Linked DNA regions of Drosophila melanogaster. The protein of the gene in region 3 interacts with the protein of the main gene of each other region in a pairwise test. Each region holds a gene or a part of one and is shown on either strand. Other genes may lie near its edges.

The links. Proteins that work in one complex are often made in the same cells at the same time.
Region 1: the proteins of REG (region 3) and CG34334 interact in a two-hybrid assay, tested with the Drosophila melanogaster proteins (one large-scale study listed by BioGRID).
Region 2: the proteins of REG (region 3) and CG12985 interact in a two-hybrid assay, tested with the Drosophila melanogaster proteins (one large-scale study listed by BioGRID).

Annotation. Positions count from the first base shown.
Region 1 is NC_004354.4:22,870,841-22,875,912, reverse strand, and holds CG34334 (uncharacterized protein), read right to left. Parts: upstream 3,102-5,072; 5' UTR 2,898-3,101; coding exon 771-2,897; 3' UTR 546-770; downstream 1-545.
Region 2 is NC_004354.4:17,882,120-17,885,783, reverse strand, and holds CG12985 (uncharacterized protein), read right to left. Parts: upstream 2,067-3,664; 5' UTR 1,977-2,066; coding exon 1,309-1,976; intron 1,145-1,308; coding exon 700-1,144; 3' UTR 546-699; downstream 1-545.
Region 3 is NC_004354.4:13,210,737-13,214,912, forward strand, and holds REG (proteasome regulator gamma), read left to right. Parts: upstream 1-1,588; 5' UTR 1,589-1,656; intron 1,657-1,713; 5' UTR 1,714-1,852; coding exon 1,853-2,222; intron 2,223-2,419; coding exon 2,420-2,787; 3' UTR 2,788-3,672; downstream 3,673-4,176. Other genes in the region: sno (strawberry notch), read right to left, coding at 364-366.

The sequences.
Region 1 (5,072 bases), 9.7 Mb from region 3:
GTATTGGCAAATCGATTGAAATTTACAAGACTAATAAAATTATGAACAAACCAAAAAAAAGTGTGTGGGCGGTTTGTTGGCGATTGGGCGTGGCAACACGGGTCAGCAAGCTTTCACTGCGCATTTGTCTCTACAATCTGTATTCTGAATCTCAACCTTTTAGCTTTTATAGTTTCTGAGATCTCGACGTTCATACGGACAGACGGACAGACGACTTGTCTCGACTCGGCTATTGATCCTGATCAAGAATATATATACTTAATATAGTCGGAAACGCTTCCTTATGTCTGTTACATACTTTTCAACGAATCTATTATACCCTATTATATATATTATACCCTTATACAAGTTTTGGGCTTACCGTACTTTCGATATGGTTTGTTCTTGATTTTACATCGAATAGCGGTACTTTTTTTCTAAGCGTTCTCTACGAAATACCATTTACCTGTCTTTTGGTAATCGATTGATTGCAGTGGGCTTTTATATTATTACTAACAGATAACCACCTTACATACGATGATTATTTTCTGATATACCTCACAATTCTTTTTTGTGCGGAGCATGGATTTTTATTTTTATTTATTTTAAGCCCAACAATGTTTTTAAATTAGACTGGTATTAATAAGTAACTTTTAAAACGCACGATGTCCATCAAGTCTACATTTGTATTTGAAGTTGGAATGGAATAAAATAGGCATCTGGCAGAGTCCTGAAAATCCTGTCTGGCTTAATCTCGCCTTCCTTTTGCAACATTAGACAGGTCCGCCTATCTAGGGCGAACGCGAATCGCGTCTAGGGCGATGGTAATGCCCGTAGCGCGGCGATGAGCGAGTGTAGGAGCACGATTGCGAACGGTTGCGCCGAGAATAGCGCGATCCCGACATAGAGCGGACGCGAGAGTGGGAGGACCGCGACCCGTATTCCGAGCCGGACGCAGAGCGGGACGGCGATCGAGAGCGTGACGACGAGCCCGAGCGGGACAACGTACGCTGGCTCTGGCGCCGGTTGACTGGCGAGTAACGTCGGTATTGACGCCACGGCGCCTTTAGCATGCTTTCCTGAAAGGCGGACACCCTGATCAGCTTCCCATCGATCTGCCCGCCGTTCATATGCTTGATGGCACTGGCGCAGTCCTCTGGACGTGAGTACTCCACAAAGGCGTATCCGCGTCCCTGGCGCCCTTGGAAACGGTCCATTGGAAAGTCGACTGCCGTCAGGGCGCCGAAGTGACCAAATATCTCGGTTATGTGCTCCTTGGTCACCTGACGCGTCAATCCCTTAATGTGCAGGCGAACATTGCGCACGGGTTGGCGAAATTTGAAGGCGTCCTTTCCGTTTCTGTAGGCCACTTTGTTTACCTCACCCACGGCTCTGTAGCCCCGTCCACTTGCTTCTGCTCCTTCTCCATCCCCTTCACCGCGCCGATGGTTCCACTGGCTGCTGCAATTCCGCCCATTTTGATTTTGAACGCTTTGTTTTTGGCGAGTAGGTTCTGCACCAGCAGACGGTGAAGAGCCACGACGTGGAGGATCGTTGATCTTCGACGACTTGCCCTTGGGGCCTGAGCTGCCTGAGCGGTTCTGCTGAGGACTCTTGTCGTGATCTTTGGCTGTCGAGGGCCTGGCACTGGAGTGCAGCTGGGTGAAACTCGAGCTGGAACTGGTGTGGTTCCCGTGGCCTGAACTGGCGCTTGCGTTAGACCTGACCACCGCTTTCGAAGATGTGCTTGCCACTGAAGTCTTGGGGGCTTGGTAACCCGCCTTGCTGCCCGCGTTATTGGTGACAACCGTCTTTGAAGATTGGCCGGTACTGCTGTCCCCCTTATTTTTTGTGCTGGAGATGCTAGCGCCGCCACTTGAATTGGTTTCGGCCATACCAGTGGCGTTGGCAATCGTCTTTGTAATGGTTATAGTGCTAGACTGGATGATGGCTTGGTTGGTGCCGATAGAACTGCTGGCGGCCGAGGCGATGTTCTGCGAGGTGGAGCTGCGTCTACGAGACTTGCGGTCCAATACCACGCTGCTTGGCTCCCTCATAGGAGTTGGCATGGCGATCGGAGCAGGAATTGGTACCGGAACAGGGGCCGGAACGGGTTGCGGGTGGGGATTGTTATGGGAGCTGGAATGGCTATGGAGATGGGAGTGCGATTGCGAACGGGAGTGGGAACGCGGTTGTGCCTCCGAAACAGACAGGACAGCCGGAATGGGTGCCGGCACGGGCAGCGGAATGGGTGCCGGTATCTGAATGACCCCAGGGGCTGAAGCAGGAGAAATTTTTTCGACAACCTCCTCCTTAACCGTGATAGCTCCCTTGGCGGCGGATATGCCACGACGACTCTTTTTAGCCAAACGCTTGGAAAAGCGTCCGTGATTCGAGTGATGGCAACGGGTGACGTGCCGGCGACGGTGCGAATGACGAGGGTTTTGGTGGCGCCTATGGCGACGATGGTGTCGGTAATGGCAACACGAGTGCTTGGTGCGCTCAAACTTTTTGACGGATCCTTCTGGCTCTGGCTCGCTGTCGCTCGACGAGTAGCTGCTGCTGGTGGAGCTCAAAAAGCTTGTGCAGCTGGACGATCCAGAGGTGCTGTAGCTCGAGTCCGAGTAGCTGGAGTCGCTGCAGTCTGCTTCAGTGCTCTCCGAAGCATTCGAGTGAATTGGTGAGATGTTCCTCATCCGGGAGGAGGGGCCTCTGGCTGGCTCTTTGCGGTCCTTGCGGTCCTTGCGGTCCTTGCGGTCCCTGCGTTCTCTGCGGTCTCTGCGGTCCCTGCGGTCCATGCGCTCCATGCGTTCCAATCGCTCCCTGCGATCTTTCTTGTGCGAATGCATCTCCTTGCGTTCGCGCTTAGTGGCTGGCTCGCCATCGTCTTTTGCCTTCGTCCCTGATACCTTGGTCATTTTCACAAGATTTCACTTTCACTGCGAACAAATATGACGGCCTTCGAAACTATTTTGATTTGATGCTCCGTTACTCACACGTTGGGAACGGCTGCCTTATGAAAATGTAATGGCGTGTAAAAACTTGGTCTGACAACTGTCATAAAAATAAAAGCTGACCAAGCAAAGGCCACTCAATGATAGATAACAACTTTTTTGCTTTGTGGTTGCCACCTTAGGTCACCGCAGTAACGAATTCTCAAGCAATTTAACACTAGACCAGACCACATTAAGGATATAATCGTTGTCCAACACTTCGAAATCAGGGCTGTAACTATCGTCATTCAGGGAAGGCATTCCTATCACCTGTCAACATAATTTAAATATACACAGACAAGAAAAGGAAGGTAGCATCGGTAATACAAAGTTTATATACCCTTCCAGTTACTATACATTTAAATACAAATTTGTTGTATACCAAGTAAAAACACTTTATAATTAAAAGCACCGAAACTATGATCTCTTTATTATAACTAGCAATTAATATGACATATCAAATTTTGATCAAATGAACAATGTCCGTCTGTCTGTCCGTATAAACGTCGGGCTCACAGGAAGTATAAAAGATAGGAAGTTAGTTGTAAGAAAGTGTGCAGATTCGCAGATTAACTTAACCTATATATGTATGTTACGAACTGCCTTCTTTTTTTTAGTGGCAGTGCCCCTAGCTCAGGCTTTTCTCAGGGCGGAGTGCCACACAGCTTGCAACATAGGCATCGATAACTATCGACATCGACTATCGACCCTACATATCTATGATCTCTAAAAAGCAGACAAGCAAAAAAAAGTAGAAGAAAAAAAACGAATTCAATTTACATAAACGACAAAATCTTAAAGTACTGGCACCCAACCGACCTAGGTTGCACGAAGGATTATTGCGGACATCACTCATTATCAACACGTCGGTGTCGCTTCAAACGACTAGGACAGCCCCATCTCCCCAAAGGTGAAGCATTCCGGTATGCTTTCTTGTTTTATTACACATACATATAATTACTGATTAACTCTTACATTCTTTATTTTTTTCTTCAATCACTCATTAGGCAGCGATCACCCTAGATCGTCGACTGCTTTGAAATGGTCAAAATTAGTTGATTTTCTTTCAGATTATATTTCAGAAAGCTGACGATTCTTTAAAAGTGTACCAAATACCAATTACTTTTGGTATGCGGGATCAGTTTCGCTAAGCCAATTGGAATGAAGCACACGCTTTGGGGCTGACAGACTTTACAGTTGGTCAAAGTTGGATATAATTCTGAAAAAATCAACGACACAAAGGCTCACACGTTACATAAATGCTTAAATCAGCTCGAACAAGAGTGAACAAGGTTAGTTATAGTCCAAATATGCTAAATTCAAGCGTAATGCCATACCTGGTAAAATAAAAACTTCGAACACTTGTTTTTACTAAACATAAAAATGCGGGTCACAAACACATTATTTTTATTTCGAACATTTATTTCCTAAAGTTAACATAAGTTGTTAATTGAATTTGTTTTACTTTGTTTAAATTAAAGGTCAATAAACAAATACGAAACGTTACGCCAAATATTTAATGACCACGCGCTGAAACATATGTTTAAACAAGCAAAAACTCTTATGCTAACTCTTATAGGCTCAGACGGATAGTCAGTTAGAGTCAGTTAAAAAAGAAAAAACTGTATTTAAATATTTAAAAATGTGACTTTTGTCCCACTAGAAAAATCATCTGGCCCACTGGCCCACCGACGACAATTCAGACTCGCGATTGACACCGGATTTAGTGACAAATTCAGGTAAGCGTTTCAAAATAATTTACACAAAACAAAGCCTAATGGAATAATATATCCTAGCACCAGCGGTTGACGGCCGTTGAAATAATTGTGGCAGTCGACGTCTTCAGAGTGTCCAGGGAATCTACGGGAGTCAAGGGAGGTTGCCCTGGAAGACTCCTAATCCGAGCAGATTCTGACTCCTTAGTGTAGTGGACAAGCAAGTTACCAAAATACAGATGAATTTTCGACGGCGATGTAGACTGGCTTCACGAAATATTTATGTATTTTCCTGTCTTCCAATGCAATATTGCCGGGGGCCCTATTTCGTCATATTTCTAATCCCCTCCCGATTTGGGTCATTGGACATAATCCGGGCCATTTG
Region 2 (3,664 bases), 4.7 Mb from region 3:
CTCTTCCGTTTCGAGTTCCATGAAGCGACGCCAAAATAGCAATAAAAACAACGACGCAACAGAGCCGCAAAAGGTGGCAACCCTGCTTGCGTTGCACTTTTTACACCCAACCGCCCACAATTTTTCCAAAAAACAAATACATAAGGGAAAAGGAGGAAAAATCCAAACAGCTGGCAGCCTCGCATTGGCAGCTGTGATTTTCATTCGTTCTTCCGCTGGACAAGATGGCTTTTCCACACTATCTCCTTCTCTATTCCCCCTCCCACTCTCCTTCTCCTCTTTGCGATCGTGTTTCGTTGCGTCTTGGCCTTGCACTCATTTCCCATTGTTATTGTTTATTTCGCAAGAATTACGACACTGTCAGGCGAATTTGTTGGTAAACAATTGTGTATTGAAGCAGCTACGGTGGTCACTCGATACGGGGAAGATCTTTAATATGTACATAACTGACAATACATTAATGATTTGTAATGATATGTGCAAGCTATTTAGTACGATCTTAAAAGTAGGAAATAAATTAACAAGAAAACAAGGATTATACAACTCGCATTTAGGTAATACTTCATATTTACGCTCAAAAAGTGAAACTGAAATTGTTGAAAAATCTCGAAACTCTTATCCAAATAGAGTTAAAATAATTTGCAGCGTTTAGAAAAACAGAATTGTGGACGTAGCATCCGTTAGTAGGGAGCGCATTTGTTAGTACGAGTGATCCCCGTACAGTGAATTCCCTTGATAGCGATCCAGTCCGTTCAGGATTTTCTCCCGCCGCATTCGCTGTTGCTGCCGTCGGCGCTGCCTGTAGAGATCCAGGAGAGCATTGCAGGTGTTCCTGTCGAGTGCGTAACCGCGCGCTCCATTGGCCCTTATGGCGACAGTGGGTAGGCGGTGAACCGACGACTTGTACAGCAAACTGCCGGTGCCGACCTTTTGCTTGGCCTCCACGGCGGCGGATGCGGCGCGACAGGCCGCCTCCTTCACCTGCTCGTACTCCGACTTAGCTTGCGCCACCTGGCGGGCCAGGCGGTCACCACGTGCCTTCGCCGCCGCCAGCATTTGGTTCTTCTCCTCGATATCCATGTTCGACTGGTCGATTAGGCTGTCCATTTCCGACAAAATGCCACTCGTCTGCTGTACGAGGGCCCTGAAAACATTAGTAATCGAAAAAGCATTGATATTAAAAATCGATATGTTATCGCTGGTAGATATTATGATAGATATAACGATATAATTGTTCCGCTTTTAAATTGTGTAGATAGTTGGATGGATTGTGAACAATATTGAATATTGAATATTTATCAATTATACCTGAATGTTTCGGCTTGAACCTCCGCTGCTTTGACCACGGCACAGGAGGCCTCCACGTTCGTCTCACTGTTCTGCAGCGAGCAGCTCACCTGTCCGACCACCTCCTCGGCATCCCGGATCTCCCTAGCGTAGTTGTCCACCATTGCCTGTTTGCCCTCGAGCACCGCATCGGCGGCACGGGCAGCGGAGATGGCCTTTTCCGCCAGCTGCATCTTCGCCTGCCGCGATGCATCTTGAGCGGCGGCCGCCTGTGCATCATTGGCTGCCTTGGCCACCTGGGCGGCATTCTGGGCAATGTGGGTGGCCTTCAGCCGCGAATTGATAATCTCGTCACAGGAGTCACAGTTGTCCCTATCTCTAATATTATTCCTGTCTTTGTCCCGATCCCTGTTTCTATCGCAACCCCTATTTCGATCCCAATCTCGGCCTCGATCCCGATCAATATTGCGATCTTTTTCTCGGTCCCTAGCGCTTTCGTCCATGCTTTCACATCCAGATTGGTAGGACGGTCTTGTGGTGCATCCCAGATAAGGGAATGGCACCACTGTGGCCCCCGAACTACCATTCCCATCGCCGTTGAAGCCCTGGGGAGATATGTCATCGTTGGTGTTGTCCAAATAGCTAGCCAGGGAGGCGTCGTGTTCGTTGTGGGGCTGGTCGAAGCTCATCGCACGGACACTCACAATGCGGAGGATGATAAGGAGCAGGGTATATGGTGGAAATATATACATTTTGAATCCGGAATTTGAGGAAAGCGACTCAGGCTGCTGCTTTCAAAACTACTAGATATTCCATAGAATATATACATATTTCAGGGTATTTTGCGATTCTTTACAGTTGGCTGGCTTTCTAGTACTTTCGCATAGTATCAGTTTAATTGATGATGGGAACCCCTTAACTTACCGTCTAAAAGAGCTAGAACGTATTTGTGAAACGGAAAAGCAATTGTTTGCCCTTTAACGATTTTTTAATTGAGCTGAGTGGTTGCCCATACTTTTCCACCAGCGCTTTTCCAGCTTTCCCATTTCCCATTGTCCTGCAGGATAAATGGCTGCCATAGCGATGGGTAATCAGCACCTCAGTTGGCAGCTTTCGCACCTTGCTCACCTTTCGCACCTTCTTTCTCCCTTTGCCCAATGCAGTGTAAATGCGTATCAAGAATACTTCATTAGTGCCCAATTGCGGCGCAATTGCGACGCTGACGCAGCCAACTGGCTGGCTAACTAAGTATCTAACTAGCTAGCGGCTAGCTGACTAACTAGCTAGCTGGTTAGCTGACTAGCAAGCACGTGTGGCGAGCGGAGAAAGGGTAGAAAGCGGCATAGGTGTGGGTGGGCTGGGAAAAGTCGCACTTTATCACAACAAACCAGATGCTAAGCACGTGCTGCCATTTGTTTTGGTTATTATTATTGTGATTCCAGTCTCTAATCAGTGCGGCCAAATAAATAAGTGTGCGGAAAACAGAAACCATGAATGCAGTTAACTGGCGGTGGGGAAAACGCCACCTGGCGGAAGTAATATCAACAATTGCAACGATCTGTAGATACAGATTCATAGATACATAGATAGCGCTATAATAGATATTTGCGTATTTTTCATTTACACTGAATATACTAACATTTATTCCGTGAGAGAATTCAAATTCTTCGTTGAAATTACGCATAAAAGTCAGGGAAAACATGCTATCCGCATAATTGATTTAAGATTCAAGATGAGTTATTTGAAAGATGAAATTCCATAGATGCAGAGGAAAAAAACGTTTTTCGGGCAACACATTATTAAGTGAAATTCATGCCGGCCATTCAGTTCCTTTGTTATATATATATATATATATATATATGTACATACATGGTATATAGTATCGTTATTGTAGTCTTCTTGTTCTTGTTCTTCCTGCATTCATTATCATTGTTGTTGTTGCTGCCGACTGGTCACCAGTTTACTGCAGTCTGCTTGCGAAACTGAAATTTTCAATGCCACTGTCAAAGCTGCGACGTCATCCGTCATCAATGAATGCGCAGTTTTCAATTACCATACAAAATACAAAACAGTCAGTACAGTGGCGGAAATAGGGAATGATACGGCCATGTTCTCTATAAGAAAGTTGCAAAATGGCAGAACGTTCAATTCAATTGACAGCAAGTGTGCAAGGGAAATCATACACTTGTTTTCCAATGTGATCTTATGAGTATCGCAAACTATGAAAATATGGTATCGTTCGCTCGAATAGATTTAGAGACTTTATAATACAAACCAAATGCTCATTTTATGTTCTTTTTGATTTATAGAGAAGTAAATTTAATCATTGCCAACATCATTTATGTTTTATTACCACATTTTATCATAATATTGTGCA
Region 3 (4,176 bases):
GTATGAGAGGGAGAGAAAAACACATGGTTCCAGGCCACGCGAATCTGCGATATAAAATGCATCCTTAGAAATTACAGAAGAAAACAATTGCAGATAAAAAAAACAGCAACAACAACAAAATGGGTGGACGAGGAAAGAGCGAAAGGCGCAAGAAAAGGAGAAACAACAATTATTGAATGAGTTGGCTACTGCTCCTTCTTCTCATTATTATTCTCCTTCATCAGCTTCTGCAGCCGCTTTGTTTTTGTTTTATGCATGTGTGTGTGGGTAAATGTGAGTGTGTCAAAATTTAGCAACAAAGAAATTTATATTAAGTCATGCTATTGACGGCAACAACAAAAAAGCCAGCTAACTTAAACTTACCATTTTGATTCTCCTGCTTACTGCTAACGGTGGTTGTTCTTGATGTTCGTCCCTCCGATGGTTCTTGTTGTTGTTGTTAACCACAAAAAAAAAATCAACAGACCGCGCACCCACGCGTTTTTCGTTCTTTTCTTGGTTTTTTTTTGTGTTTTGTTTAAAATTTATATATTAATTTCTTTTTAACAATGCGTTTTTGATGCTGTCAACGGAACAGAACAATTGTGCGGCAAGTTAGATAGCAAATGCAGCAAATATAAAAGGCTGGACTCCGCAATTTTCAGCGCGTTAGAAATGTTTTTGTTGTTGTTGTTCTTCCTGTTGTTATTGGTGTTGCGATAATGACTGCATGCGTGTGTGCATGCGTGTGTGTTGTTGTTGTTGAGTGTGTTTTTCTTTTGTTGCTGCACGCGGTATTTCGCTTCGGATAAATTTGTTCGTATGCGTTGTACCGCGCAATACACGCAAAACGAGGAATCGGAATAAAGGAGGAAGGAAACGAGAACGAGACGAGAATGAAGCGACGAAGCCGAAAACACACGTAACATGCCAACTATCGCAACTAACGAGATGCCAACTAGATAGAGCTGGAAAAACATCGATGAGAATCGATAATGGTGAAGCGAGAAAACGTCAGTTTGACGATTATTGATAAGAATGCCGATGTATACTAAAACTTATATTTGGGCACACTTATTTATAGCGTGTTTGCTCTAAAAATATTAATAGCTTAATATTACTTATAATATATATATATGGAAAATATTTTAAAAATATAGATATTTAAATGAAAACATTTTAAATTGCACAAAGGGAGACATAATAAACTTACTTGGTATTTAAACAAATCTATCGGTCTGGCACGCGGTGCACACAAGACTATCGATAAATGGCGCGCGTCTTATTTCTTTATATTTCATGATATATATCCGTTAAATTCTAATCACGTTACAACAAAGTATATGCAAGTTTAACATGGTAAATGAGAAGCGAGCTTCAGCTGTTGCATTTAAATAAATGATGCCAACTGCAATGTACATTAATGCATTTAAATATGTTTTGCCAACTTTAATGTTCAGCTAATTTGTTTATGAAACTGAAAGTAATTAGAAGACTTTCAATCTAAAAAAAGTATAGAAAAAATATATATTGACATTCAAGATATTTAAGATACTTGTGGGGTATTAATTTGCAAAATTTCTGCAAACTTCGACGCTATCGATAAGCATCGATTATTCTTTTTCTTCCACCTCTAGCACCACATGCGTGTTGTTGCTTGGGCATCAAAATTTGTCGGTAAGTCTGGTTTTCCCGCTTTCAATTTCGCAATCCGCCGACACAAGTCCCTAAAAGTCCGCCGATTTCAGACGGTCCGCGTTGCTGATTGTTATTGAGAAGATAAGGAACGAGAAGAACCGGTACTACGCCAGGAGACAGGACTCAGGATCAAAGGCTTCCACGGACACGAAAAGGAATCCACATAGCTAACGAAATGCCTAACGACACTGTGGTAAAGGTGCAGGAGTACAAGGACTCGTTGATCCTCAAGGCAGAGCTGCTAATCACCAAGGGGTTCCCGGAGAATATCGTCCGGCTGAACGAGCTGCTGGCCACGCCGATCTTCAACGAGCGCAACTTCGAAGAAGTGCACCAGGACCTCAACATCCCGGTCCTGCCGCCTCTCCTGGTTAAAAACGAGTTGGAGGATCGTGACAGTCTGCCCACCAAGCGCCAGCGCGTGGATGTCATCGTCTCTGGGCAGCCTGTCATGGGTCTGCCCGCCGGTACAGTGCCGTGCAACAAGCCGCTCTGCGAGATGATCAAGGTCGTCAAGCCTATCATCAGGAAGCTTGTGGAGGATTGTAAGTACACCGTATATTCAAGCGTCTCAACCTAATAAATGTTTTTATGCTATTCAAGAGCCCCTTCAATTTTCCTAAAACAATGAATTCCAAGAATTTTTACATTCGAACGGTACAAATGCCAGTAGCTAAAGTTTTGCCTGACATTAAGCTTTTTAATGAATACCTAGTAATTTCTGAATTGATTTCTTTTGCAGCCAATCTACTTAAGATGTGGATCTCCTTTATGATACCCAAGATCGAGGATGGCAACAACTTTGGCGTCTCCATTCAAGAGGACACGCTTGCCGAAATTCAAACTGTGGAATCCGAGGCGGCCGCCTTCTTTGACCAGATATCGCGCTATTTCTTGTCGCGCGCCAAGGTGGTGTCCAAGGTGGCCAAGTATCCGCACATCGATGATTATCGGCGCGCAGTCGTCGAACTTGACGAGAAGGAGTACCTCAGCTTGTGGCTGGTCGTTTGTGAGGTCCGCAATCGCTACTCCTCGCTGCACGACATTGTTATTAAGAACCTCGAGAAGCTAAAGAAGCCGCGCTCCTCAAATACCGAAAGCCTGTATTAGGCTAGGTATTTCCGAAGCCCGAGCCTCAACTTTTTTTTTTCCTTTCCATCATCTTACTTTTCAATCAATAATCAGCCCGTAGAGCGGACGGTCAGCAATTCTTGTCGCTACTCAAAAAGCTAAGATTTTCCAATTCGGTTTACAAACATCAAAATTCTTTAATTGAAGAGCAGTGATTGAACAATAGCTGTAGCCTAACTACCATCAACTATTAATCCATTTGTACTACGTCTAGAATGTAATGTTGAGATTGGCGTACAATACAAGAAACCGATGCTGTATAGATTCCACTAATAGCTATAGCTATGCATAAAAAGAATAGGCGAGCTCCATTGACACATTTTTTCAACATTTCCTAATGTAAATTTATAACACGGGCGCCCCTCATACGGAAAATGTCCTTAAAAATGTGTGAAATATAAATCTTTATAAGTAATTCGCTCCGAATAGGTAACACTGTGCTTGTTTTCTTGTTTTACGTATTGACTATGGGTTCTACTTTGGGGATTGATATCTATCGCAAAATCGAAACAGGCGCCCAGACATTTAATAAGGTGGAAATTATTGCATTCGATGCGGCCAATCGAAAAAGACAACCTTCTGATTTAACAGTTCAGAAAATTCTTAACGTTACTATGAATTAAAAATGCCCGCCAAAATGTCACATAGTAAATTCTTTTGCGTTCGATATTTGTTTAAAACTGGAAAAAAAAACAAGAATTAAATATTGCTTACCAAATCTACCAATTCTGTATATATGCACAATTTCTTTAAGTGTGTTTGCCAGACAGCTGCAATGCTATAGCTGCCTGCTACGGCACTTCGGTTCGAACATGTTCGCTTCAAACGCCCGCCAAACAGAAAATTCAAAACACCAAATGGTTTAAAAAAAAGGAAGTGTATATTGAATAAATCAAGAACATAATTACTATTTACAGCTAGTACTATCGAATTTATATTTACAACTAATTTAACTACATCTCGACCCCATACATACAAAAACATACATAAAAAACTAACATCTCTAGTTTTTTTCTCACAATTTTAAAAACTATCACTTAGAATAGCTGACGGAAAACAAACAAAATAAGAATATTCTTGCTGGTGTGTGCTAAATTTAGTTGCGTGGATTATTTATAGTAATGCATTAAGTTAGTGCTAATACTTTCGATTTCTTTTTTTTTTATTTAATTATTTTCTTTTGATCCTAACTCGTGTCCGGTAAATTGGACTTTCGATTCGATTTCGAGGCACTTTTAATTTGTTGTTGGCAGTGGTTAAGTATATATTCTATATTCGGAATTTTCTCGTCGTTCCCTACAACTTAGCCTGTAAGGCTTAAATCTATATATGACAATAACATTTTTCACAAAGATTATCAACGTTTTG